Danio rerio: one gene and its partner. The protein of the gene in region 2 interacts with the protein of the main gene of each other region in a biochemical or structural test. Links are inferred from orthologs where the notes say so. Each region holds a gene or a part of one and is shown on either strand. Other genes may lie near its edges.

What was found. The genes of interacting proteins can lie anywhere in the genome.
Region 1: of the proteins of mcm4 (region 2) and dbf4, one has a biochemical effect on the other in vitro, tested with the Homo sapiens proteins (2 studies listed by BioGRID). The link is inferred for Danio rerio from reciprocal best matches to the Homo sapiens genes MCM4 and DBF4.

The regions. Positions count from the first base shown.
Region 1 is NC_133191.1:47,576,440-47,587,901, forward strand, and holds the end of dbf4 (protein DBF4 homolog A), read left to right. Parts: intron 1-1,924; coding exon 1,925-2,113; intron 2,114-3,906; coding exon 3,907-3,954; intron 3,955-4,058; coding exon 4,059-4,128; intron 4,129-4,223; coding exon 4,224-4,291; intron 4,292-4,678; coding exon 4,679-4,724; intron 4,725-4,840; coding exon 4,841-4,886; intron 4,887-4,963; coding exon 4,964-5,095; intron 5,096-5,184; coding exon 5,185-5,305; intron 5,306-5,426; coding exon 5,427-5,542; exon of another isoform or gene 5,543-5,685; intron 5,686-5,732; exon of another isoform or gene 5,733-6,156; intron 6,157-8,449; coding exon 8,450-9,254; 3' UTR 9,255-9,722; downstream 9,723-11,462. UniProt on the Homo sapiens protein: Regulatory subunit for CDC7 which activates its kinase activity thereby playing a central role in DNA replication and cell proliferation. Required for progression of S phase.
Region 2 is NC_133199.1:39,260,223-39,271,684, reverse strand, and holds part of mcm4 (DNA replication licensing factor MCM4), read left to right. Parts: intron 1-19; coding exon 20-115; intron 116-2,707; coding exon 2,708-2,846; intron 2,847-4,857; coding exon 4,858-5,078; intron 5,079-5,224; coding exon 5,225-5,345; intron 5,346-8,799; coding exon 8,800-9,059; intron 9,060-9,272; coding exon 9,273-9,638; intron 9,639-11,015; coding exon 11,016-11,143; intron 11,144-11,462. UniProt on the Homo sapiens protein: Acts as a component of the MCM2-7 complex (MCM complex) which is the replicative helicase essential for 'once per cell cycle' DNA replication initiation and elongation in eukaryotic cells.

The sequences.
Region 1 (11,462 bases), on a different chromosome or scaffold from region 2:
TGTTTTTTTTTGTATTTTTCTGTAGTTCTGTTCTATGTTGTCTGTCTTAACCAGGACTTCCTGGTAGAAGAGATATTGTATCTCAATGAGACTTTGATTAAATAAATAAAATAATGTATGAAACTTATTGTACAGGGTGTCTGCAGGGTTTTAAAAAGTATAACAAGTTGATAAATCAATGCAAAGAAATTAAAGGCCCTAAAAAGTATTTAAAAAAATATTTAAATGCTATTTTTAAGATATTTAATTTAATATAATTTTTGATTATCCAATGTATGGTTGTATACTTAAGTTGGGCTAAAACAAATCTGTGAATATCAGGATGCTGTGTAGTTAATAAAATCAATAAAATCCTGCTATATTTGACATAAATGCTGCTTTGTTTACTGCGGCAACCAAATAAAGACCATTATTTCTTGAGTTCTATAGGCGCCAACCTGCTGAATTAGCTAGATTTATTTGATTTTTATTCAGTATTTAAATAATGTTTTAGTTTTGGATTAGTTTCTTTTGTTAATATTTAGTAAATATTCTGTAAGTTAAAATCTCACAAGTGCTTCCGGTTGATACCTAAAGTGTTTATAATATATGGAAGGAGTCTTTAAAAGGTCTTAAAAGGTGTTGAATTTAACTCTCTGATTTCTGTTTACTCTGTTGTAACACTGAAAAACATTTAACTCGTTGCCTCCTGCAAATAATGGTTAAATCAAATTATAGACTCCTTGATATTGTACTTGTTAATTGAAATAATAAATATAAATAATAAAAAAATGTATATTTTTTGTTTAAGTTAAATAATATAATAACACAGTAATATACATCAAATAGGCATGGGCCGGTATAAGATTATGGCGGTATGATAACCTTGGATAAAAATATCACAGTTTCACTGTATTGTGATTACTGCTCTAAAATGTTATTTTTAAATGTCTGTGTAAAAAACCTTTTTCCCCCTTTAAACACAATAAATTTTATTTTGAGAAACATTTAAAACAGTTTGCAACAGTAAACATTTTAGGCTGAGTAATTAAAATGAATCTTTGACTTCTGCTGTTTTCATTTATTTAAAAACAGATTTCATATCTTTTCTGCTGGAGATGCTGTTGTCCTAAAAAAAAGTTTAATAAACAAATCTTACATAAAACATAGGAACAGTATAGCAGAATAATTTGGCGGTTTTAAAACCTTGACTTTTCAAAACCGCGGTATACCTTGAAAACGGTTATACCATGCCTAAAATCAAATAATAGACTCTTTAATATTGTACTTGTTACTTCTACTTTAAACCACACTACAGTTTCTGCTTTATTTAAACAGATGTTTTGTCTGAGAACTGATGAGTAGGCCCATATGGAATCTATGCGCGCAGACTTTTAGCCCATCATTGAGTCTACTTATTTACTTGTGTAAATATGTGTAAATTTTAATCTATTCAGTTTTTAAATTAATTTCCGTAATAATATTGACAAATGAAAGTGTTTCTTTGATTTATTCAAAATACAATTTGTTCAGTAATATTTTCTGTCTTTTAGTAAAGATATTATATGATAGTCTTGCTTTGTTTACTGAATAAGTGGATCAAGATGGTTTTGCGTTGAAAATTTTTAATAAAAGTTAAAGTTTATATATATATATATCTATATATCTATATATACATATATATATTTATATATATATATATATATATATATATATATATATATATATATATATATATATATATATATATATATATATATATATATATATATATATATATCTTAAGTTTTTAGTTATACAAAATGATTTTACAGAATTCTCTGCTGAAATAACAAAATAATGTCTGCAGATTCTGTTTGGCTCTACCGAGTTTCGGTAACTTTATTCAAGATGTTGACCGTGTGTTCTTCAACACAGATGTAATGACTTGTGTTTTGCTCTCTAGACAGTGGAAAAGTTCTTCAGTAAGGAGATCAAGTATCTTGTGTCCTGTAAGCCGGAGGCTCGTTATGCCCAGCGTCTCTTGCCTGACTCTCCAGCACCAAGTCCAGATTCAGGGGTCAGCTCTCCTCATCCCAGCAGCAGGAGGGAAAGCCACGGCCAAAGGGGCAGCTCACAGGGAGTCACAGATACGGTTAGTTAGGATGCTCTTGTTGTTTTTTTGCTCTACTGTACTGAAGGTGGTAGGGCTGGGTCCATAAACAATATTATGTCGAATCTCAATAAAATTTATGTCAATAACAATAAGCTCTGGACTTTTTTACTTTATATTGATCTAAGGGCCAATCACACAGCAGAGTTATGCAACAAAGGGAATCTTGAAGTGTGTTTATATTTGAGCTACCAAAAATGATCGGCCACCGAAAATAGGTTATGCTATTTAATGAACCGTCTAATTTGTGGCTTCAGTCATTGTTGGGGTAGTCTTATAAACAAGGATAAATTAACAATTGATATTGAAATATAAAATGTTATTGTTTAATATGGAAAATAATTAACCCAGATTGCATTTTTGCCATATCGCCCAGCCCTAGATGGTGGTTTTGTCTTGGATCCCTGAATTAGAAATATCTTTTTGCTAGTTTGGTGTCTATAAAATGTTTTTTATATAAATCCTTATGCAAGAATAAAAGGTTCGTATTATTTAATATTCATTTAATACAGTTATTATCATTGCTGAATAATATGATAGCATAAAATCTGTTATGCCTTTTAATCTTGCATTTATTTGGTGAAAAAGGCATTTTCTAGTCTCTCTTAAAAATGAATTATTCAATATATCCAGGGATGGGAATAATTGTATTATAAATAAACACTTATTAACAGTTTTTTCAGTAATGTTTAATCAAATCACTTAAGTCATGTTCCTCCTTAACAACATCATTATCGTTATTGACAGCAAAATAATAATTAGCTGTAATTGAACTCACTGAAGTGGTTTTCATTTCTCATCTATAGGGCCTGTTTTTGTGTTAGTTCTGGGGGTACATAACTGTGTGTGTGTGCGTGCGTGCATGCGTGTGTGTGAGAGAATTGAGGGTTGGGACAACCACATAAATGATTGGATAAGAATGCAGGAGATAATATGAACTCTGCTTTCAAAGTAGTTTACATCAAAGCAACTAAAACTAAATTGAACTGTTCTGTCATGTGGAAATTAACATAATCAATAGGTAGCAGAACTAGTTAATCATGTCTTAGTAAATTTTGGCAAACAACTTTACAAACAAACAAGTTTATAAGGTTTAAAAACTTTTATTCCAGTGTTAATCAGACTGTTGAATGCATATGTATTTTTTTCTGTATTGGGCTTTGCTGAAATACTTAAGAGTCCACAGAAATCCCCCTTAGGGACAATAAAGTATACAAACAAACAATTTTACTTGTAACATTTCCTTATCATCAGCTTATCATGAGTCGGCATCCGGGCAGAGAGCATGAAAGTGGAAGCGATTCATTTACAGTTCTATACCAAGATTAAAACATGAATGAACTATAGAAGGTTTATTGAAAGAAATACTCTGAAATATAGGCTATCACATCTTATATAATTACTGAATCAGTGTTTTAACCATGGAAAGATGTAAATAAAGCTCGAGTTTAAACTATGTAAACAGTTATATTAGAAAAATAATAAACTAATAGAAATAATTTATTGTTTAGACTTGATTGTTGGCCAATTTTGATCTGAAATAAATATTAAAAGTTCTAAACCATTTATGTTATTTTTTGTTCCACTATAATATTATTTAAATTATTTAATTTAATTATTTACATAAAATGTGATATTAATGTTTTGTTACATTTTAATTGTCTTTACATTCACTTTTTAAACTATTTCATGCTCTTGTGCTGAATAAAATGATTATTTTAAGGGTAGTTTATGTTTTGGTGTGAGAACTGAAGTTTTGTGTTGGAATTTCACAGGCAGCTGTAAGCCGAGGCAAATCGCTTGTGGAAAGAGTTAAAGAACAAGTGAGTCAATCTTTATCAAGTTCCCTTTTTGAATTGTTTGTGAATGAACTGTAGTCCTGAGTAGTTTATCATCCCTCTGATCAAGAGTTTTCTGTTTGTTTTAGGAACGTTTTCAGATGAACGGGATCTTGGCCAATGCTGTTGAATGGGGGGTCAAAGTCCTGCATGTTGACGGTAACGTCTTTATCAATATTAATCCTTGCATTGTTACAGAAGGGGGATTTTTGGTTTCTGTTTTTCATGATGGTTCTTGCTTGACTTTCAAACAGATGTTATTTCATATGTTGACAAGAAGAAAGCTAAAGTCTTGAATGCAAGTCCAGCAGCAAAAGGAGCTGTGAGTATTTTTTTGACAACCATTAACATCGGCCATTTAACTATTATATTCTGATTGTGTTTTGGCTACCCCTTAAATTGTTTGCTAGTTTACTGCCCTCTCTTTAACACTGAAGACTTCTTTGCGCCAAGGATATTAACTATAACCATAATGTGTATATAAAATAGTTCTAAAAATCATTCTGAATATAAAATTGCAGAGTTCAGACTGTAATGATACTATTGAGCAACAATATCATTGGTATCACTGGTGTGAACACAGATATAGTTATCACCATTGTTCTTAATGTGAATGGGCCTTAAATTTAAACACTGAACAGATTCTGTGCAGAGTTGCTTATAAATCGGTTATGTATATTTAAAGTTAGCTTATCACTCTACATTTTAGGCCAGCATTCAGCACACAGAAAAAAACTCATATCCCAGACACAATGGTAAGTACATCTGTTTTTATTGTGTTGCAACTTTCAGTTAAATAATTGTATAATAATATATTAAGCCATGCTTTCTTTGCTTTTTATTCATTTATTTAATCTGTTTCTGTTGGCAGCTGGACGAATTCGTCGACCATTTGTGAAAGTGGAAGACTCCAGCAGGTGTGTTTTCGTTGTTTGTTTTCTTTTTAACTTTCATATGAATGGTTCAACAGCTTTGACAACGATGATTTTTGCAGGCATTACCGTCCCATTTATCTACCCCTGTCCAACATGCCTGTGTGCAACCTTCGGTCTTTTCCGCCCTGCAGTCCATTTTTGATGGAGGAACAGGGAAAGGATGACCCAAAGAAGAAACAAAAAGAACAAAGGTAGAGCAGAGTCAGTAACATACCCTATTGAAATCCTCAAGGTTTTTTTCTGTGTGTGTCTGTCAATGAGAGTCTGTCTTTTGCTTCAGGTCTGTTGGGGAAAGAGCAGCGAGAGGAAAGAAAGAGAGACGCAGAGGTCATGAAGGCAGAGAAAAGAGGAAAGGAGGGTACTGTGAGTGCTGCGAGGTCAAATTTGAAAACTTAAAGGCGGTATGTGTCAAAATAGAAAGCCACTTTTAATTGAAAATCAAATAGAATAGCTGAAGCTGAATCAAAATTTGCATAAAATGTGTGTAATCTGTGCTCACTTGTTTAACCTTCTGACCACCAGCATCTGGATAGTGAGCAGCATCAGGCTTTTTCTAAGAGTAACGAGTATGGAGTCGTGGATCGAGTCACTGCAGGACTGACCTGTGACCTTGTGAACATTAGCACACCCTGCAAAAGGTACAAACATGTCATACATTTTTTTTTGTCTTCGACTCCTATCATGCTTTTAAACTTATAAATTGAGGGTGCTGCTTACACACCTAGACTTTTGTTTTGGAACCTTGCACATTTGCCTCTTCAGTGCGGTTCGTTTCACATACGTGAATCCAGCAGTCGCGCTTGGATCCATTCCAAAACAATCTGTCAGACATCGCCTGAATGAGGTGGTCTCAGCTCAATTGAAACAAATTCTAGAGCGGATTGAGTGTAGTGAGAAAGCAAAAATATCCAAAAAACCAGGCTATATCACATATAGTGTAATATGGATATGTAATTGGCAAATATGGAGAGAAAATAATGAGTAGGGCAGGATGTCATTCCTACCGGTATATCTGCATTTCATGTCAAATAGAAAAGTGAACGCATGCTGAACTATTAACAAGAGCTTTTTATTTGTTAGGAAAATTGACGAACTGCATTTTTGGTTTATCTGTTGTTTCTCTATAATGTATAACATATAATGCATAATTCTAGCCAACGGCTGTATATGAAAAAGTCTTGTTTTAGATTTGTATTTGGTGAGATGTCTGTGGGTCTCACTATTCAATATAAAGTGCAGCGGGAAAAATAAACCGTGGAACTCTTTCCAATGTAAGGAGAGTTTAATCGCACATGACTTTTTTAGAAAGTTTACAGTGTGATGTAAAAGCGAACAGCACAAAGAAACAAGAGCAACACTAGCAGTTTTAATCCCTGTTTCGGAACAACCGATCTACAGGTGAAAGTGTGTAATGTTGCTATTTGAAAATGAAAACAATCTGCAAAGAAACTTTGCTATGTTTACAAAACTTTATGTAACTTTTAAATTTGTAAATGAATAAATGACACTTGCAGACGTGATTTATTATATAAAAAAGTAAATAGCAGTTCATTTGAACCATTCATAAGGCAGTGTACCTACTGATTAGTTGATTGAGTTATATTTAAGATATTTTCATTGCAAAAAAGTGACATGCGCTATGCTTGTTATATACAGAAATAAATCATTCTAAAGCTTATGTAGGGTGTTCGCAGAGTCTTTAAGTATGAAATGTTGGTAAATCAATTCAGAGAAAAATGAAGGCCCTTAAAGTTTTACCTATTTAACAAAGTCTTACATTTTGTAGTTTTTTTTATTTATACAATGGATAGTTGTATACTAAATTTTTCCTGAATTTAGTCTGTGAATGTTGGGGTGATGTGTAGTTTATAAAATTGATCAAATTCTGCCAGATTTGACATCGCTACTTTGGTTATACATGCTGTTGTATAGGCGACACCTGCTGGAAGAAAATGAATTAACATTTTAAAATTAGTCACTCCTTTTGTTAGTATTTTTCTGGTTTCTAAAATTCTAAAATATGGAAAAATATCATGAAGAATGGGTCAAAAAATCAAGATCAGTGTATTTATAGATGAAATACCTGAGTTGTATTAAACGGGAGTCTAAAGTTTCATTAATTCATTTAAATGTAAGAGTTTTCTAAAAATCCACATCTTGTTGTTGTTTTTTTTTACTGGTTTGATTATTATTTTGTAATTATTAGTGGCGTTATAAATCTCAAATCTCACCATTTGGATGTTTTTTTTTGGGGTTTTTTTTTTGTCACGGGTTGGACCATTTTTTTATATCAGCCAAAAAAGCGACGAGACTAATATAATGTGCTTTTCATTTATTACAGAAACAGTACTGCAAGACACTTGGTTTTAACAAACAGAACTTAGAACCTGTATTTCTTTTAAAAATAAAATGAAAAAAATAATCAGTGGAATAAAAATAAATTGTAAAATATTCAGTACTGTGAAAAATTTACTGTTACTATTGTTGCTGATGACACTGAATGTATAAATCTAACATTATAATTCATACAACCCATATTTATTTTTAATCTTGTTTTTAATAAATGATTCAGTTATTCACTCAACTTTGTTTCATTGCTAGATTTGTTATTTTTAAAGATTTATTCAGTGGCATATTTGTGACGGCTGGTAAAATAATGTAGTTGTTGCCTACAACTTTCATTTTTGAGCATTGTTAAATGCATATGATGGTGATTTTAATCTTTACCATAAACATCAGTGGTTTTATCTAAACTATAAACTGTTATTCCAGTACTTCTGTGTTATTTGACTGTTTGGAACTTCATAACTAACTCAAAAGACTAAAACCTGTTTCTCTCTTTAGATTTTTGCGTTTTTCAAACACAGATTTGAATGCAGCGATTTGAAGGATTAATAAACAAATCATCATCATTTATAATTTATGTTGTGTGGGTGTTGAGATCCCGAACTTTAAATAATTAATCATGCAGGCTAAACAAGTAGTGACAGAAAACACCTTTAATAGCCTAAGAAACCCACCACATCTCGGATAACCCATCACAACTACTTCCGCCATCTTTATATTTTACAGGAAAGCTTAAATGCTTTCATATATGTGATCTGAATTATGTGAGAGGAGATCTCTCTCTCTGCAATTGCTACAATTATAGGGGGTTATACCAGTAAAAATGTATTTATCCGCAGGCCACATATGTTTAGAACTGTGGGTTGTGATTCGTATGAATCACAGATCAACCGTGATCTGTTATACCCCTAGTAGGTCTCTTTATTCTGAACCTATCCTATGGGTAGTCGGGTGAATAAATTATCTTGTGCATTGTTATACTGTAAAATATGTGAAACCTGATGTGAAAAAGTTGCGATGAGCTCTTAATCTATGGAAAGAGTCTTAAAAGGTATTGAATTTCACTCTCAGATTCCTGTATACCCTGTTATTAATAGAATCGTTTATAAAATTATTAATACCCAATCCTTTTTTTCCCCTTGTTTGTTTGTTGTTTACTGTGCTTTTGACAGCATCGCATTAATGTCTCTCTGGTCTAGGGTGAAATGCAGCACATCAACTCCTATTCTGAATGCTGGAGGAATGCTGTCAGCAATGCAAGATGTGGGATCTGTGAATGCTGATTGCAAACAGGAAAGCGAGGTGTCTTTGCTTTTTGGCTCTACACCAAAGCAGCCTCTTATAGAACGGACCATAGAAAAACCTCTGCTGGTTCGCAAACGTAGCAGGGGCCAGAGTGATTTCCCTTGGAGCAACAGGGACAGCTTGTGTGAACAATCAGATGTTCCAGAAAAGTCCCAGTCCAAGCGTGGATCCTTTGAATGGGAATTGCACTCCCAATCTGCTTTACATAAGTCTGAGGGTGCATCTTTTCTCAGCAGAGAACAGAACTATGGATCTTATACACTTGAATGCAGGACAGAGCAGCAAAACAGGACAAATCCTGACGTGCACCCAGCTCAGCAGTTCAGTGAAAGAAACTACGAATCAGTAACCAGAATTGAAACCTTTAGGACTAACTGCAGTGAAATAATTTATGCACAAAGTATGCCCGAAAATCAAGTTGAAAATTCAGCTCTTTGGACCAGCACAGAACCCAAACCGGACGCTGACAGTCCCTCTATTTCCCTGCAAAGAAAAGTTCGAAGCGTCAGACCCAGAAGACAAAAGCAAGTATCAGCCTCGCACATCGAATCCAGTCACAGACGAGAATCATTGAGGTCTTTTTCACGTGATCAGTCTGTGCAGAAGAGTGAAAAGCCTCCAGCTTCTCTGCTGGATTTATGGAAGCTCTTTCAGTCTAGTGACAGTTTGGATGAAGAGTTTATGGGGTTTTCAGATTAAAAACAAGTGGAGAACACGCATGTATGTGTGTTCTAATATGATTCACTTTGCCAAATTATATATTAATAGATCTGATCTTTCTTTCACCAGTAGGATGAAACCAAATTCACTCCGTAGAGGCCTTAAAAAAATTGATTATAGATATGAAAAATATCTTGTGAATAAGTGTGTGTGTGTGTGTGTGTGTGTGTGTGTGTGTGTGTGTGTGTGTGTGTGTGTGTGTGTGTGTGTGTGTGTGTGTGTGTGTGTGTGTGTGTGTGTGTGTGTGTGTGTGTGTGTGTGTGTGTGTGTGTGTGTGTGTGTGTGTGTGTGTGTGTGTGTGTTTTATGTATATACATATACATGAGGCTAAAAGACGTGGAGACACACAGTGAGTATGTACATTGGTTGTATATTGATTGAAGAATATAACAGCTTTTATATATGTCTGGGAATGATTTTCTTGATTAAATAGAAAATATTCACCAATGTTTTGTAAGCATCACCTTTCTTCCAGAGCACTAGTCATTTGCACTTGCACTTTTTTTTTACTAACCGTATATAGCATTCAACATTTGAAGTGGATCAAAACCTTTCATTAAAGTTGTCCTAAAGCTATTGAATAACACCCATTCAACTTTTCTGATGCATTTCGAGTGTTGACTACTGTATAAGTTTTCATTTATTCTCTCTCTCTGTCTTCAGTTTTTTTTTTCAACTGAATTATTATTCAATATATATTAAACTGTTCAAATGCCTGTTAAAAGAAATTAATATGGCCACTTGCACAGTTGGTAAATACCGTTACATTGTTGAAATAGGATCTTTCAGATCAGTTTTGTTCTTTGTTAGTTTTCCTCACTATTCTAACTGTTCATAAAGTCTTTATGAAGATTTTAAGCCTCTGTTATCAACATTTATTAGGCTTTTTTTCTTAAGTAAATGATTTCTGCACTAAGGACTAGAATTTTTATGCAAACAATTCCACGTCAATAGGAGTGCATATAGTGCAGTTAACCATAAAGAAAATATCAAATAATTTAGGTCATTACAGTTTTGTTTGTTTTGTCTTAGCATTTAAGTGTTAATGGCAAAGAAACTGTAATTACAGAGATTTGATTTCCAACAGGTAATACAAAAATTATTATTACAGGCCTCCAGCCACCTACACCCCACTGACAAAGGTTCAGAATTTGCCATTGGTCCAGAATTTTTGCTACTGTTTTCTCATTTGTCTTATGTTGACTAATTTCCCATCATAAACTGTGGAAATAACCCATCGAAGGTTATAAGACCATGCAGAATATGACATAAGTTATGTTAGCTTTCACTATTGACCTATGCTGTTGTTACATAGAAAAACTGTAGCTTAACTTTTATTCCAAATCTTGCACCTTATTCTTGAGAGAACAAAAATTGGCTGTTGAAAAGGTCCAAAGCACCAAAAGTTAAGTATTAAAGTTAACTGTTGTTGTTGTTGTTATCCATAAATTTTCAAGAGAGGCTAGAAAAAAATCGTGAAGATCTACATTATTTTTTATTATGTATTAATAGTTTTTTATTCAAACGGCCAAGCTCTGACTGAGAAAAGCGGAATGTGCTGGCCAGGGGTGCGTTTAATAATAATAGTAATGATTATTTTTATTATCAAGTATATTGTTTATTTAATTTACATTTTTTTGAAAAGTCTACTTTAACAATTTGACACATGCAAACCATTGCAGAAATGTTCTAACCAACAGGCCCTTGTCATACAGTACAGATACCTAATAAATATCCTACTATAAATTAAAAGCATTAATGTTTGCTATATTTTTTGTTTTCACAAGCTTTGGCGATGTAACGTAAATTCCACTTTTGAATAATAGGTCATCTACAGCTTTCATCATGAGCCACGGCTGTGTTTAAATTTGCGATGCAGTTTGCGAATGTTTGTTGCAACGATGTTTGTTGTAACAATGGAACTTGCGACCCAAGTAGGTTACGATGGTTAGCCAATTTAGGATTGGATTCCAGTTTGGTATGTATGTAATAAATGAAAACAAGCTAAATTAAGTTTATATATATATATATATATATATATATATATATATATATATATATATATATATATATATATATATATATATATATATATATATATATATATATATATGTGTGTGTATATATATATATATGTGTGTGTATATATATATATATATATATATATATATATATATATATATATGT
Region 2 (11,462 bases):
GTGTGTGTGTGTGTTTCAGATCAGTGTTGTTGGAGAGCCGGTGTTGAATGTGAACTGCACTCATATTCAGACATTTGATGCTGATCTGTACCGCCAGCTCATCTGTTATCCACAGGTGAGATCTACAACAAAAGAAGCAACTGTGTAGTAAAGAGCTAGCGTTAACCCTGAGGAGAGCGCGGCCATTTTGGTGTCGTCGTCAGTTTTTAGCAGGATCAGGAGAAACATGCTTGGGTTTTGGCATACTGATGAGGAAAACTAGCTGGTTCTAGCTGGATTTGAAAGATCTTTACCATTGTGGACGTCACTTTAAATCATTAAAAGCCCAAAATGTCCTTTTTAACTGTTTGAATTAGATCAAATTTACGGAGTGACTCCCGTACACATCTCACTCTCCAAACTGCATACTGGAAGTCCTCTAAATTGGTCAAGTGACAGTAAAGGCTTTTATAATGTTAAAAATGTGATTCTTTTGAACTTTCATTACATCAAATACTCACAGCATTAATATTTGTTTATTTAATCTGAAATGTTTCTTGAGCACCATATCATCACATCAGAATTAGTTCTGAAGCGTGATGTGACAATTCACAATTTAGCTTTACTTGAAAGATTTTCATATCAGTATGTTGATGTACTTCCAACTGAAATGCAGTATTGAGCAGGAGGCGGGGCTTTCTCTTTGCGCATCATTCCCTCACTAATGGTAAGAGGGGCGTGGTTAAGTACATAAAGCATCAAACAGACGCCACTAGAAAAGCAAATGGCCAAACTAGAGCTGCACGATTTTGGCTAAAATGAGAATCGCAATTTTTTTTTTACATTTTTATTTTATTTATTTTTTATTTTTTTGGGTTAAAACAAAGATTGATTCTCTCACGATTCTGTAGATGTAAAATAAAGGTTATTATGAGTCGGCAATTATTATTGTTTTTTCCCAAACATATGGTAAAACAACAATATTGGTATTATGTGTAGGTCTACTGGTTTCTATAAATAATTCCATTCTACTTATAATAATTCTGATGTTGAATTATGTTTGAGATATAGGCCTATGCATGCAATCATTGACAACATTATTCGACCGTTTAATTCACTGGTAAAATCAACATTATATAGGCTAGAGTAGTTATACTGACTCTTTAAACATTTATTTTCATGCACAACTGTGTGTTCGCTATAAAAGAAAAACATATCAAATGCTTGTCGCAGTCATAACTCTAAAATGTGATATGATCATTTAAATAAAGTGCACACTTTCGGTTTCATGTGCTGTTCATACTTCACACGCGGCACCCAAGCGATCACTCTGTGCCACAAACGGAATATTATTTACAATTTTATTACCCGTTACTCACAGCAAGTTCTGTTCACTAAAGGAGACGCGCAAGTAGGGCACACACCCGCACTATAGTTCACGTCACATTTGATTTCCCGGCCTTGAATACAGCATTATATGAAGACAAAAATGACATTTTTAGGTGAATTATACCTTATAAATACAGTATGTGACTCATTCAACATCATTTGGAGGTGTCCATGTTGCTGAGCAATGTATGTGAAAGAATGAAAAGACTCGTGCAGCCGCCTTTGCTTTTCCCCTGAACTTGAAAATATGATTGGCAGAATCATAGAAATGCTGGATGAAGATCGTCTAGGGCAGGGGTCACCAATCTCGGTCCTGGAGGGCTGGTGTCCCTGCAGTGTTTAGCTCCAACTTGCCTCAACACACCTGCCTGGATGTTTTAAGTATACCTAGTAAGACCTTGATTAGCTTGTTCAGGTGTGTTTGATTAGAGTTGGAGCTAAAATCTGTAGGGCACCGGCCCTCCAGGAATAAGTTTGGTGACCACTGGTCTAGGGGGTCGATTCGAGATTGCGATCTTTTTACGATTAATTGTGCAGCTCTAGGCCAGACTTTGAAGATTACTTGCACGGATTGATTGTTCACATAAAGAATAACACTCAATAGCACTAGCAAAATGAACACATTTGGATTTCACAGACTTTAAATGATAAGAAAAGATCTTTTAAAGAAGACCTTTTATGCAAAAACAGAAACAGTTGTGTGGTAACTGTGTGAATATAACCAGCTTCTAATGGTAAAAATGTGTTTTATGAGTTTAATGGGTTTTAGTTTTTATAATCAAACAATCAACAGAAACACTTTGATTGACATTCATCCTTTGTACATGTCATCAGAGGGGGGGAAGCCCCGCCCATTAGTGACCATCTCTCCCTCATTAGCATAAACAGCCCTGAGTGAGAAGCAGCCGTCTGACATTAGAGTTATCTGCTGCTATGGTGACATAGGTGTTTTTAAACTCCACCCTCTTTTGAGAAGAGTACAGTCTCATTTAAATTTAAAGCGACACTCACAAAAATGACACAATTTGGATCAAAGCCTAAACGGGCAGCTTTAAAGAGTTCTAAAACATTATTTGTGTGTATTTTGAGCTGAAACTTCACACACACATTCTAGGGACATCAGAGACTTATTTTACATCTTGCAAAATAGGGCATAATAGGTTTCCTTTAGGTTTATAATAATAAATCACATTAAAGATTGTTTTGATAATTCTCATTATTAGCGATTTGTGCTTTTAGTCAAATAAGTGTTGCAGTGCTGTGTATGCCTACAAAAACCTAAACTCTGATTTATTAAAATGTGACTTTGTCTAAAGTTTCTAACTTTTTCCATTCACAGGAAGTCATCCCCACTTTCGACATGTCTGTCAATGAGCTCTTCTTCGATCGTTTTCCAGACTCTGTGTTGGAGCATCAGATTCAAGTGCGACCCTACAGCGCTATTAAAACCAGAAACATGCGCAACCTCAATCCTGAAGGTAAGGAACCTGCTGGAAATTAGTGATTTAATGCTCTATACCTGGGTCACGGCACCAAATTGGTGAGATTTTGGAGATTTCAGTCTCTATCAGGGTCACGGCACCAAATTGGTAAGACTTTGGTGATTTTAGTCTTATCACTGGGTCACAGCACCAAATTGGTGAGGAATTTCTTGATTTCAGTCTCTATCCGGGTCACGGCACCAAATTGACCCTTTGCTAAGCTCTGCCTTCCTTAGTTACTGTTAATACGCCTGTCAAGCTTTCGTGCCTGGCACGTCTATTACAATGTGTATGCGCCAGTGTCAGACATTCCCAGGGATATAGTTAGTCCTATTTTGGCGAACAAATGAGATATCCAAGAAAGAAAGGCACAAATAGGCTGCACTATGCATTACAGGGGTATATTCGCGACATAATAGGCAACCAGTTAGAGAATAATTTAATCAAAATTGAAGCTAGCTTAGCCTAGCTTAGTTCATGCAAAGCAGGAGAGGTGAAATTTAAATATAATCTAATAATAACTTATTAAACGGGGATTTCTTTCTTTTTAGCCAAAAAGCCTGATAGGCTAATTGTTGTGCAATGACATAAAGCGTTACTAACCGACGAGGAAACACGCATGGACAGTGCTTCTACATAATTCAGATTCATAATTTGGGAACAATAACCCATGACCTATTCGCTTTTTATATGACTACTATGGTGAAGGCTTAAACAGAGCAGTTCTCATATCAAGCGAAAGAAAAAAAAGAAGACAGCTGTGAAACATAACCGACCTTGTATTTTTGTAGGAAACAATTTAGATCTGTTTAGGGTAAGTGTGAGTTATTGCCGTCAGTCTATCACTGATTGTGTCAGGAATATCAAAACAAAACCAACTTAAATCTGCTCCTTAGCGCCCCTCACAGAGCTTGATCCACTCTGGCATTTCTCCCCTTGAGTTTTTGGTTTTGAAAAGGGAAAAAATTCCACCACCCTGTCCAAACTTTCAAGAGACCAGGTGTCAGATTTACACAATCTATATTGTTACGAATTAAATTAAAAATCCTTAATCAAAAAGAGATGTAACCAAAACATAACAAAATAACAAGGAATTAAAAATATAATCTCTGGTGCCCCCGCGCTCTCTCTCCCCAAAATATATACCAAAAACACAACCACTAAGAATTATCAAGGAAGTATGATTTATTTACAGGAATAAGGAGCAAAAATAACATCAGGAGGGGTTCAGCCAAAATAAATGACAATAAACCAAGCTAACTAAATTAGATTAAACTTCCCTAGAAAACAAGTAAAATAAAATACAGAAAACTTACCTCCCTACTAACAAACACAGGAGAAAACGAAAATAACAAATAAGGCACCAAACCTCCCTACATGCTCCAAGCCCGACAGGGAGACAGAAAACCGGGCTTCAATCGCCGGTTAAAAATGAACACAACGGCATCTCACAAAACCACAAAGAGATACAAGCAAACACTCATTGGATCACGTTCTCCACTGAATACAAGCGGGGAAACCGAGAGAGAGCGGGGAGCCATCGAACCCATGTTCTCTGCGGGTTTTTATAGCCGCCGCCAATCTAAGCGCCAATCATGATCCGACCCAATGTAATCCGCTGCACCTGCGAATACTTAGAGCGAGAGAGAGAGAGAGAGCGAGAGAAAGAGAGAGCGAGAGAAACACCACACACAAGCCTACACTACTCGTAACAATATGCACAATGCTATGGCTCGTTTCCCTCACTTGAAAGCTTGACAGAGCCCCTGCACATAGCTACGGTTGCTAAGCCACGATTGGTGGGTGGCGGTTTTGGTTGTGGCTTAGCGAAGGGTCAATTGATGACAATTTAGGGATTTCAGTCTCTATCCGGGTCACGGCACCAAATTAGTGAAAATTTGGGGATTTTTGGAATTGTATTATTTAAATGTATATTTTAACAAACCGAACGCAGATCTTACAGTTTATTGATAAAGTGTACACATGTGACTCTTCTGTCTCCTGTCAGACATTGACCAGCTCATCACTATCAGCGGGATGGTGATCCGTACATCTCAGCTGATCCCGGAGATGCAGGAGGCTTTTTTCCGCTGTCAGGTTTGTGCGTTTAACACGCGTGTGGAGGTGGATCGCGGACGCATCGCTGAACCCGCCGTCTGCCGAAACTGCAACACCACACACAGCATGGCACTGGTGCACAACCGCTCCGTCTTCTCCGACAAACAAATGGTGGGCATCTCACTTCTATTCAGCTGCATTTATTTTGTGTATCATTTTACGCTCTTGAATTTTGTTTCATTTGTATAATTTTGGTATTTATGCAATTGTGCAAAACAGATGTATTGTGAAGTCGTGTGTGTGTTTGTGTGTGACAGATAAAGCTGCAGGAGTCTCCGGAGGACATGCCTGCGGGTCAAACTCCTCACACCACAGTCGTCTACGCTCACAACGACCTGGTGGACAAAGTGCAGCCCGGAGACCGAGTCAACATCACCGGTATGATTTTATTTGAAGTAGCATGGGCGTAAATCTGATTTAACAGTAGGGGGGGGGACAATATTTTTTGACAGCAATTTTTTGAAGGGGACACAAATAATACAGCCGAATTGTACTAATAAAGATGTCTCCCCGCAGTTAAAAATGGTTTCATCATTATTAATATAGCGTGGAGACTACGTCATTATGATTATTTTTAAAGTTTTTCTCAGGTTTAACGACAAAGCAAATTTTTCTTCAAAACTATTTATTGCATTGTTTGTTGTGTTGTTTACAGTCGACTGTCTGACTCCTGAAGCAGAATAAATGCAGGAAAAGACGTTTTCCATACTCATAATAACTAACTTGTTTACATTACACTTGTTAAAATGACCGATCATATTGTAAATCATTAAACCTGCGAGGTTCATCTGCTAAACAGCCACAACTACGAAAACATAAAAAAATTGTTCATCCCTAAAGAATTGTCATGATCCCTTAAATAAAGCACAACACCCTTACTTGACACTGTACATCTGACTGACCCTGCCCTGCCTGTTCCTCAGTCATTTCTTTCTCCTTTGCCTGTGATTGATAATGTGACATTAGTATTTTCATAAGCACTCATTCTTAAAGCCAAATTGCCTTAATACGTGAAGTTTTTGTACTTGGCGTTTAGCTGCACTGAAAAATTATCTTATTTCAATTTTCTCTGTCATTTTATTCATTACATGACACTGCAATGCAAGTTTATTTATGTTGTAGCACATTTAAATGGTAATTCGAAGTGCTTTACATAAAGAATGCAAAACTATCATAAAAATAATCACAAAAACAAATAACTAAAAAAGGTTAACATTTTAATTTTAAATTAATTGAGTTACTTAAAACTGAATAGAAACTGATTATAGAATAATACAGTGGGGTTAGTGTGCACAGTGTGCACAGTGTAGCACAGCGCTCATTTAGCAAATACACAGCAAAACAATATGCTAATTGTGGTCGTTAATGTTAAGTTAACATTATGCCAAGTCGTCACAAATTAAACAATGCATGGGAAATGGCTTTAGTGTTAGCAACAAGCTAACGTTAACTAGATAAGTAATAGAGGTGTGAACCTATACTGGTCTCACGGTTTGGTTCGGTTACGATTATCATGCCTTCGGTTCAATTCGATATCTCGGTGTATTGACGATGCTTTCCATATACAGTGTTATATTTTAGGGGGGAGGCTATAACAAGCTGTCTGTATAAACACACAGACACACAGCACCACACTGTCTCTCATTCAAACACATACACAAACATAGACAGGACCAAAGAAACACGCTCACACACACACACACACACACACACACACACACACACACACACACACACACACACACACACACTTAAGCCCTTGCAACAGGGAGAGCTTGCGCTGAGCGGAGCAGAAAAAAGAAAAAAAAGCACTTTTCAGACGGTCCCTTTCTGAGAGCTCCTCTCCACGCGAGCTCTCCCGGCTAAACACGTATTGCGAGGGCTTAAACAGAGCAGTGCTCGTAATGTCGAGCGAAAAAAAAGAAAGACAGCTGTGGAACATAACCAGCTTTGTCTTTTTGTAGGAAACACACTTTAGATCTTTTTAGGGTAGGAGGTTTATGAGTTAATGCCGTCTAAAGCTGAATGCGTGTCAGGAATATCGAAAACAAAACCAACTGAACCACGCTCCTTTCTGGCGCCCCCCTGGATATACAGCACCCTTAGCATTTGCCTATGGTGCCTATGCCACAGACCGGCCCTGAGTTGGCTGAGTGTTAAAAATACTCGCGCTCACCTCCCTCGTGACAGAGCGCATAGGAGATCAATGACGTGACATCAGTACATAATAACCGGTTATGATTATTACGGAACCGATACCTTATTGTCCGCGTCTGCATCGCGGTGCACCGAAGAAACAATTAATTTTGACACCCCAAATAAGTAATTTCAATCGTTAATGCAGCAGATTTATGGAGAATTACAAGCCTCGGATAGGAACGGACATGTCCCCCCTTTTCCCCCTGGGATTTACGCCCCTGTGAAGTAGGGATGCTCATTTTGGTTAATTTTGCTTACCGACAACCGCCGCTCATTAATCAAATATTACCTGTTAACTGGTCATATTAATATTAAATTAGCATTTAGTTTAAAAAAATTTGACGTCTCTGTTGTGTCTGACACATTAAATATTGCATTTTAAACACTGATTTATTTTAACATGCGAACATAACAACAGAGTATCTTCACACACCTGCAGTATTTCCAACAGCATAGAAAAACAGAATAAACTAAATTAAATGAATAAAATAAATAGGCCTGCCCTAACAATTTTTTCAATTAAATTATTAATTTAGGCGCCGTTTACACTGTTTGGTCTTGATGCCCAATTCCAATTTGTTGCCTATATCTGATTTGTTTGCCTGTCTGTTTACACGTTGTTTTAATTGTGACCCATATCCAATTCACTCGTTTACACTTGCCATACAATTTATGTTGTCGCGCATGCATAAAGCCGGGTTCTAGCATCTATGCCACACTAGCCACGATGGAAGAAATTGTCTTGTTTTTAGCTCTGCGAAGTGTAGTATAAGCAGTGAATGGTTTAGTCCAGATTTACCCCCACGTAGTAATAATGGTATGGCACTGATGTGTGTGTGTGTAGTTAAATATGTAGCCTTTGCCTGTGTGCGCACTGGTGTTAGAGAGAATAAAGTTGTTCTATGTGTATTAATAGTGACAAAAAGCAAAAGTTACAACACGAAGTTCGCCCAACTTTAAAATGATTTTGTGGTGGAGGAGGAAAAGGGCCGTCATCGCAGCTTGCGCTTATGGTTTATATGCTTTATGATGTCCTCCACCATTCAGAGGAATGTGTGGGTACGAGAGAGATCTCGGGTCTGCTGGGAGCAAATGGTGTCGACTGACCACTTCCTCCTCTGTGTTTCCTCTGATGTTGTTTACCGCGTCTGCATCTCCACACACGCTCTTCTTTCTGTCATTAAACTGCGGAGAAGCACCACATTGTCGCAAGTTTAATGATGTACAGAACGGAATGCCTCAATAAATCCGATCTGCCTGTTTACATGACAGTCGCATTGTCACATATCCGATCTAAATCTGATTTATTTCCCAATGCGAAGGAGGCCTGAAACCGATCTCTGAACATCCGAATGCATGCCTTTTTTTTTTTTTTTGTGTTTACTCAGTCGTAGAACAGATCCGATCTGCGTCACATATGAGCAAAAAATCGGAATTGGGTCACATTTAACTGGCAGTGTAAACGGGGGCTTAGGTTACAAAATGAAAACACTGACTGAATCCTTTATAAGAACCGGCATAGGCTGTTTTTTTTTTTTTTTTTTTGGTACATTTTTTTTGTATTTTTTTACACTCATGTTTTTGTCTTTCGTTTGGCAAAATGACTGAGCAACTCTTCTTTTATTGTGCTCAGGCATCTACAGAGCTGCCCCGATGCGTCTGAACCCACGGCAGAGCCAGGTGAAGTCTGTTTACAAGACCCACATTGACGCCATTCACTTCCGCAAGACTGACGAGAAGCGTCTGCATGGACTGGACGAGGACGGAGAGCAGAAACTCTTCACTAAAGAACGAGTCGCTCTGCTAAAAGAGCTAGCCGCTAAACCTGACGTCTATGAGCGCCTGTCCTCTGCTCTGGCTCCCAGCATCTACGAACACGAGGACATCAAGAAGGTCAGTATGATGGGAAACTCTAAATTGATGAAGTTGTTTTGAGTGTAATTGAATTGCTCCTCCACTTGCGAACTTGTCCCACTCCGTCTTCATGTGTTGATTGAGATTACGTCAGTCATCGAATAAAAATGCACATTTTAAAGCACTTCACGAGACCTTTACATCAAGGAATATGCTGTCAGGACACAAGTTGATGGTGTTGATGTTTTCCAGGGCATCCTGTTGCAGTTATTTGGCGGGACGCGTAAGGACTTCACTCAGACGGGCCGAGGAAACTTCCGTGCTGAAGTCAACATCCTGCTGTGTGGTGATCCGGGCACCAGTAAATCCCAGCTGCTGCAGTACGTGTACAACCTGGTTCCTCGCGGTCAGTACACGTCCGGGAAAGGATCCAGCGCCGTTGGTCTCACAGCCTACGTGATGAAGGATCCTGAAACCCGACAGCTGGTCCTGCAGACCGGAGCGCTCGTGCTCAGCGATAATGGCATCTGCTGCATCGACGAGTTCGACAAGATGAGCGACAACACCAGATCTGTGCTGCACGAGGTCATGGAGCAGCAGACGCTCTCTATTGCTAAGGTGCATAGGCTTATACGTATCTGATTACCTTAGTTTTTTAACTATATACGTTTCATCACAGTATTGACCCAAGCTGCAGTAATTTAACAAGTATAGTTACAAAAATGCTTTATTATATATACACATGTTGAGATAAAATAAATGTTTTAAACACATTAAATTGCAAAAGGATGATAAAGTAAAATAGGTAACACTTTACAATAAATTCTCTTTCATAAACCGTTAAAATAATTCGTTAAAATCAAGAATGAGAAAATGCAATATAGTTATTCATTCGTTCATTTTCTTTTTGGCTTAGTCACTTTATTAATCAGTGGTCGCCACAGCGGAATGAACCGCCAACTTATCCAGCACATGTTTTATGGAGCGGATGCCCTTCCAGCTGCAACCCATCTCTGGGACACATCCATACACACTCATTTACACACACTATACACTACAGACAATTTAGCCTACTCAATTTACCTATAGCGCATGTCTTTGGACTGTGGGGGAAACCGGAGCACCCAGAGGAAACCCGCGCAAACGCAGGGAGAACATGCAAACTCCACACAGAACTACCTACAGCACTACCTACTGCGCCACTGCGTCGCCTATTATAGTTATGTCAACGTTCGCAAAAAATACAACCAAATAAGTCTGTTTATCACATTTAATGAAGCAATTTCGACGTTAGATTTAAATAATAATAATAATAATAATTCTATACATTTATATAGCGCTTTTCTGGACACTCAAAGCGCTTTACACATTGGGGGGCGGGGTCTCCTCATCCACCACCAGTGTGGAGCATCCATCAGGATGACGTGATGGCAGCCATATTGTGCCAGACCACACACCAGCTGATTGGTGGAGAGGAGACCATGAACCCATTATGATATGAGGATGGTTAGAAGGCCATGATAGACAGAGGCCAGTGGGCAGATTTGGCCAGGATGCAATGAGAAATTGAAAAAAAGAAATAAAGAAAATGAAAGCATTTCAATAAATTAAGCATTAACTACAAATTAACATCACCTAAGATTAATAAATGTTTTTGTAGTTATCATTACATGGACTTTAATGAGTCAGAATTCATGAACAAAAGGCCTATAAATAGTCTCAGATTCAGTAAGTCTTACTTTTTGAAAATAACCTAACCAATACTAATACAACAAACTAATACAACATTTTCTTAAAAGGCACTCAAATGTTTAAACAATTAATCATGGTGTTTTGAGGTACCTGTGATATCAATATTGTGCATGTTCATTATCACAATATATCGAATTAATGAATACCGACATGTATCTGAAGGTGCATGAAGGATTGGGTTTGGAATTGCAATGCATTTGTTTGAACTGATGATTAATGCAGGATTGTGTGTGTGTTTCGTAGGCTGGGATTATTTGTCAGCTTAATGCTCGGACCTCCATCCTCGCAGCAGCCAATCCGGTGGAGTCTCAGTGGAACCCCAAAAAGACAACGATAGAGAACATTCAGCTGCCTCACACACTGCTGTCCAGGTACAAATTAAACAACCGTATTTATAGCGGATAATGTATATTAATCATCTGCTGAATATTTAAAACAATGTGTTTTGAAAAATATTAGTTAACATTAATTAGATTAAAAATAAAGTAAAAATGTAATGTTTAATAATTACAGTTTAAAATAGATGTTTTCTTTTAGGATGTATTACATTTTTGTAATGCAAAGTGTTGTGCTGCTTAATATTATTTGGGAACCAACTTCCTAAGTGCAGTGTTTATGTGAAATGCCAATAATTATGTGATAATTTTAATGTTTAAAAGTAAAGAAAAAAAACATTTGGATGATATAATT